2 linked regions of the Kluyveromyces lactis genome follow. The protein of the gene in region 1 interacts with the protein of each later gene in a pairwise test. Links are inferred from orthologs where the notes say so. Each region holds a gene or a part of one and is shown in the gene's direction. Other genes may lie near its edges.

Region 1 (4,208 bases):
GTAGATTCAACAAGACAGCTCCTTCTTCTTCCCCTACATCTACCGGTACTCACAGATACGGTAGATTCGATAAGACTAACAACAGGGAAGCTGAAACTGCTAACGATGCTGACTTGGTTAAATTTTCCAGCTCTTTCTTGGTTGCTGGTATCGCTGCCTACTTGTTATAAGTCAACTTCCAATTGTTAACGAAATGCCAAGAAAAAAGATACTCGAAAAGTTGGCCCTCTTCTTTTATTTTCGTTAACTGTCGTTGCTATCAAACTATATCACAAAAACTTAAGGATTTTCTTTCACCTCACTTTTATCAATCTTCGTCAACCCTGTTCGCTTACATCCAACACTGGATGCATAGGAAATGATTTGATTGTTCTTTTTTATTTCGTTTTTTTTTTACTTGGTTGTTTGATTCCATGAATTACCTATATTATTCTACTACCTTACCTATGTCGTTGCTGCGTGTCGTGAATGTGTGTCGTGTGTCGTGTCGCGTGCTAACAAATTTTTTGTTTTGAGTGTAAGTGTATTGTGTTAAATTAACACAGTATATACTACTCAATCTCATCTATCTGTGTCCTAATTTGAAAATTATTCCATTTCATGAATGAAAAAAAATTGACGTTTATGAACCGTACAGCAGTGTGTGTGTTGTGAAAATTCATAATCGTCGATATTTGGAGTATATATATAACAAAAAGGAATGGAGTGCAGTAGGTGAACCGTGTTTCTTTCTTGGCGTTGAATTCTGAATCTTTCCCGCCTGTTCATTCGAGCACTCATTTATTTGTGAGGGACATTTTCAAAATGCTGCTAGAGAGAACATGTCAATAAAACATCAACTGAGCGGTTTTGTCCATTCCTTTTTCTCTCCCTCAAATCATTCCATCCATCTCCAATACCCAGTGAATGTATTTTTGATGCTTACTAAAGGGGGAAATAGAAAAAGGAACTTATGCTAGTTGATTGTATCACAATTCTTTCGCTTCTACTCTCATCAACTTACCCTCATGTATACTTTAGTGTGTGTGTATCATGAGAATGAATGAGGAACGAAAACAAGGAATCCCCGGTGATATATTTATATTACCAACCATCCCAAATATATTATGTATACGTATATACATCTCTTAATATGTGTTGAAAAGTGTGTCAAATTGACCCTGCCCATCTTTTCCTGTCTTTTGATGTTAGAACCTTTGTCGTTTTCTTACACGAGGTTGGTATGTCACGTGACAACTCCGTACATCACGACTATCTGGCAAAGAAATTTCAACCAAAAAAAAAAATTCGAATTTTTTGGATGGCCAAAAAAGAAGGATTTTAATCAAGATGGATATTATATGGGATTGAATAAAAGATTGGTTTGCATTCTACTTCAATTACACTGTTACATATATAAAACAATACGGTGCTCTTGGCTTCCGATATATTTTTCTGTCAAGCAATACAAAGAAACGAATCAGATTTTCATTTACTCAAGGGGAAACGCTATTTGTGATTGTTAGAGATTGATTTTGCGACTGATAATTTCTTCTTTAAATCCAACTTCTCTTTATTTTTGTTTGATTTGGAACCCATTTGCAAAAATATCTACTTGAAAAGACGGGACGATCAATTGTGATTGTGAGTTTGGTAGAAAGGAATTAGTTACAATCTTTTTTTTTACTTCTCTGAATTTTCTTTGGTTCGCGGCTAGCACGAAGGATCAGATAGCAGGTATCCGTTTTATTATTTTATAAGTGAAAGATGGACGGTGACACTTCCAGCAAGTTTGTTCCTGAATACAGGAGGACAAACTTCAAGAATAAGGGTAGATTCTCTGCTGATGAATTACGTCGTCGTAGAGACGTTCAACAAGTCGAGTTGAGAAAAGTCAAGAGGGATGAGGCATTAGCAAAAAGAAGAAATTTCAATGCGCCTGTTGGTAACGATTCTGATGATGAAAATGATGATGATGACGATCAGGACTCCTCTTTCTACAGACAATTACAACAGGAGTTGCCTGCTATGTTGGAACAAATCCATTCTAACGATCTACAACAACAGTTGGCTGTGACGGTCAAGTTTAGACAAGTCTTGTCTAGAGAACACAGACCACCTATCGATTTGGTTATCAGTACTGGCGTAGTGCCAACCTTGGTCCAATTCATGAGCGAAAATCAACCTGAGATGTTGCAATTGGAAGCTGCTTGGGCGTTGACGAACATTGCTTCTGGTACTTCTGAGCAGACTAGAGTCGTCGTAGATGCGGGTGCTGTGCCATTATTCATTCAATTATTATATTCAAACTCGGTTGAAGTGAAGGAACAAGCTATTTGGGCCTTGGGTAACGTTGCTGGTGATTCCACCGATTATAGAGACTACGTTTTGCAATGTGGTGCCATGCAACCAATTCTATATTTGTTCGAATTGAACAAGACTTCCTTGATTAGAACAGCTACGTGGACTTTATCTAACTTGTGTCGTGGTAAGAAACCTCAACCAGATTGGTCTATCGTGTCTCAAGCTTTGCCAACTTTGTCTAAGCTAATCTACTCCATGGATACTGAAACGTTAGTCGATGCTTGTTGGGCTATCTCATATCTTTCCGATGGCCCGGTTAATTCGATCCAAGCGGTAGTAGATGCTAGAATCCCAAAGAGACTTGTAGAACTACTATCCCACCAATCTACGTTAGTGCAAACCCCTGCTCTAAGAGCTGTAGGTAACATTGTCACAGGTAACGATTTGCAAACTCAGATCGTTATCAACTGTGGAGCCTTGGCAGCTCTAAGAAATCTATTGGCTTCTCCAAAGGAATCCATAAGAAAGGAAGCTTGTTGGACCATCTCTAATATAACCGCTGGTAATACGGAACAGATTCAAGCCGTTATTGATGCTAACTTAATTCCACCATTAATCAGATTGTTGGAAACTGCAGAATATAAGACAAAGAAAGAAGCATGTTGGGCCATCTCGAATGCCTCTTCTGGTGGGTTACACAAGCCAGAAATTATCAGATATTTGGTCAGTCAAGGCTGTATAAAACCATTGTGCGATCTATTAGAGATTGCTGATAACAGAATCATAGAGGTTACACTAGATGCTATAGAAAATATTTTGAAGATGGGTGAAATGGATAGAGAAGTCAGAGGTATTGCCGTGAACGAAAATGCTGATTTCATTGAGAAAGCTGGTGGTATGGAAAAGATCTTCAATTTACAGTCTAATGCTAACGAAAAAATTTACGAAAAGGCCTTCAAGATCATTGAAAAGTACTTTAGTGATGAAGATGATGTTGTTGATGAATCTATGGCTCCACAAACAGCTGGTAACACTTTTGGATTTGGATCAAATGTCAACCAGCAATTCAACTTCAATTAAAACCAACTCTAGCTGTGCGTGTGTCATGTAATTACATTTGCTTTTTTTATTCTAGACAATAAATGAATACTACGCGCCTGTTAAATATCATATAATTTTTGCATTAATGTAATCTATCTATAGTATTATTAATCTACACTTCTCCCTTCATTGTGAAACAGAATTCTATGTCATTAAAGGGCCCAAGTCTTATTTGCAGTTTTGAACCACGATAAAAGTAAAAACTGTGCTCAAAAAACAGTATCATGGACCTTCTCTCTGTCATAGAAATTAGGTGACCAGTTAGGTGCATATCACTTTCGGTGTTACCTCTACATGTTCCGATGCATAATATCAACATTTAAAGGTTTGGATTTTTGTAAACCTTTAAAAATACACAATCGAAATTTCCTCGGTGAAACATCGCCTATAATCACACGAAAAGGAAATATCCAATGCATATGTGCTACTTCAAAGCTCGGAGTTGAATATTACGCTGATGCGATAATATGAGTTCAATGCCTGAATTTCTCAATCTGCGGTCTCCCCAGAGAAAGATTAGTGACTCACGAATAAAACGGATCAACAAAATGTTTGACGCGAAGATTAAAGATGAGGTATCAGTTGTTTCGAACAATAGCACAAGTGTTTTGCAAGATATATGCGGGCCTTTAAATATTTCTGAGGAGGAAGATACTGTGAAGTACAAATCATCGAGTAATGTTACTACTCCGGGGTCTGTAAGCTCCAGCGAAACGTTTGATGATGAAGTTAACCCACAGTTTATGCCGAAGCTGCGATCTAAACAAAGCATTGTACAACTGTCCCAGCATAATACCCCAAAGAAGTCAAATACATTTCCAAAA
Region 2 (2,738 bases), on another chromosome or scaffold:
ATGTGAGTATATTCAGTGTCAGAGGTGACAGAAGGGTAAAACTCATTCAATACTTTCTTGCAAGAATCAACAAACTCATCGTAGATCGAGTCAGGGCATAGGACATAATCTGCGGCGACACAAATCTGACCTGCGTTCCCCATAGAACTGTAATAAATTCTTCTTATTGCAGTCTCCCATTGTGATTTAGGCAAGTTGGGGGATATAAACACTGGAGACTTCCCACCAAGTTCTAATACACATGGTGTTAGACTCTTAGCAGCCTTCTCTGCTATGATTGTCCCAACGGTCGTAGATCCAGTGTAAAATATCTTATCGAATTTACCGGATTCGACTAAAGCACTTGTTTCTTCAGCGCCACCTTGCACCGTCTCCACTTGACCCTTTTCAAACGCCTCATTACATATCTCTTCCATTACTTCAGCACATGCTGGTGTCAATTCACTAGGTTTGAACACCACGGAATTACCACCGGCGATGGCTCCAGCTAATGGATCCAATGCCAATAATATGGGGAAATTAAACGGAGAAATGACAAGAACGGTCCCCAATGCGATCTTTTCCACGAAAGTCGTACCGAACCAATGTGCAAGTAAACTAACCTTAATCTTCTTTGGTTCGATCTCTTTCTTCATGTTTTTAATCAAATAAAGGATATTGTTGTACAAGGGGACTAATTCAATAGTAAGCGTTTCACTTCTTGCCCTATGGAAATCCTTACTTGCTGCTGCAATAAGACGTTCCTCATTATCCTTCACTGCCCAGTAAAGCTTCTGCAAACTCCTGATCCTCTCATTGATATCAGTAGCCCTAGGGGACTTGCTTTGGGCTAACCTGGCTTGTCGAGACCTGTAAAACTGCTTAGCAAGCTCAATCTTGCCAGGAATCGACTTCAAATCTGTAAATTTAAACTTGGACATGTTGCACTGGTTGTTTGTCTCAACTGATGTAACAACTACCAACTTCAAAGTAAACTAAACTCTTAACTGACATTTGTGTATTGTGTTTCGGTATTTAAAGGTTTACTTCTCCAATATTCTTAGGTTCTTTAAATATTAAGGCTTTTCGGTTTTAATGTTATCCGGTGAAGACCAGCGATGGGCATGAAGAAAAAGCATTTAAAAACCGTTTAAAGGGCCCACTAACTGCTCAATTGGTTTAGTTTGACAAGTTATCATGGCTTACTGTCAAGTGGTTATCTCGAAAGAGATTCTGGATGCTGTGTTACAATTGGTTTCCACATATTCAAATTATATATCAAGATATGTGGACTATTTGAACAACCTTATCGCAGTCCAGCGTCGTGTGAGCACGCTACGTTTCGAAAGGATGACATTGATCAAGTACGTTAAGAAACTACGGTTCATGGCTGATGTTTTACACAGCTGGTCGTTTGAAGGTGAGAATGATCTTATTGGAAAACGGTTAAACGAAGTGATCGATCCATTGGGAGCATATTTAATCAAAGTGTTTGAAATATTAGACCTGTTGAACTTCTACATTACACAGCCGATGAGAGGCGAAACGATCTCTAAGACTTTGAATGAGGATTTGGTCGTTAGTGAGGAGACCATTGTTTGTATCAATGACAGCTACAGGATATATATCAAGGGAATTCAATGGTTAGTAGAATCGATCAGTGAAAGGAATGGCAACTGTCCTCACCTGGCACTAGAGTTGATTGAATTCACTAGAAAATGTGCCATTGAAGATGAGGTGGATTTCACTGCTAGCGAAGATATCTTACTGCAAGACGTTGCCATTGTGGAAGTAGAGGAAGAATACGTTGACCTGTTGCATGATTGGTCTGCGATCCTGGTGCAGAAACAAACAGAAATGAAGGAGTTGTTCTCAGAGGACTCAAAGAGATGGGCTTCAATGACTAAACCGGTCAAGAAGTAGGTGAGGGTATCCTACACGTTCGCACATATTTGTATATATATATATATAGAATATAGAATATCAAATTAAAAAGTTACATACAGTTCGTCATACAGGTCTCATGTCATGATGGAATGTTCTTCTGCCAACTGGGATGGAGTCTTCTTCTTCTGCCTGCTTTTGATTTCTCGAATACTTGGAGCGTCTTTGTTCTTCAATGATAACGAATAATCGTCATATGAATCCATATACTTAGAGAAATAGAGGTAAAGTTGTGCTAAGGTCATACAGCAGGGCGATCCGTTGTTATATCTGTTGTTACCCACGCGTAAGTTTTCAATAACGCGTACAGCTTTCCTTCTGGTGATGTCAAGCGGGAGGTTAAACCTCGAAGGTTCACGAAGAATCGTTTCTATCCTTTGTATTATTACGTACCTCTTATGGAAGAACGTTCTTTCACCTGCACTGCTTCTCCAAGTAGATCCGAACCTTCTTTCAAGAGCCATCACGGATGGCTGACCCGGTAATCCCTCGTAGTACTCCCTTGCAAGGTCAGTTACAGTCTTGATGGCTCTGTTCATACGATACCGTTGAATGAATCCATTACTACCATGAGCATTGTTACTGTCTGCCAACTGCGGTGGAACAGACCCGATTGAGCCACTGGCACTGCTGGCAACTCCTACAGTTCCAGTACCAGTACCAGCACTTTGACTCATATCATTCTCATTGCTGCCATGCAGGCTGGCAACTGCTGATTCTAAATCTTGTTCAGGAAGCACAGACCATGGATCTTGTACCTCACGCTTGATGTTCCCCTCGAGAATCCGTTTGTCTCTGTTATAACTCATAGAATC

Evidence for each region.
Region 2: the proteins of SRP1 (region 1) and SHE2 interact in a two-hybrid assay, tested with the Saccharomyces cerevisiae proteins (3 studies listed by BioGRID). The link is inferred for Kluyveromyces lactis from reciprocal best matches to the Saccharomyces cerevisiae genes SRP1 and SHE2.

Annotation. Positions count from the first base shown.
Region 1 is NC_006040.1:729,344-733,551, reverse strand, and holds SRP1 (karyopherin alpha), read left to right. Parts: upstream 1-1,746; coding exon 1,747-3,363; downstream 3,364-4,208. Other genes in the region: KLLA0_D08624g (uncharacterized protein), read left to right, coding at 1-170; KAR1 (Kar1p), read left to right, coding at 3,852-4,208. UniProt on the Saccharomyces cerevisiae protein: Functions in nuclear protein import as an adapter protein for importin beta nuclear receptors. Binds specifically and directly to substrates containing either a simple or bipartite NLS motif. Promotes docking of import substrates to the nuclear envelope.
Region 2 is NC_006038.1:1,092,421-1,095,158, reverse strand, and holds SHE2 (She2p), read left to right. Parts: upstream 1-1,176; coding exon 1,177-1,902; downstream 1,903-2,738. Other genes in the region: HFD1 (hexadecenal dehydrogenase), read right to left, coding at 1-920; EUC1 (Euc1p), read right to left, coding at 2,001-2,738. UniProt on the Saccharomyces cerevisiae protein: RNA-binding protein that binds specific mRNAs including the ASH1 mRNA, coding for a repressor of the HO endonuclease. Part of the mRNA localization machinery that restricts accumulation of certain proteins to the bud and in the daughter cell.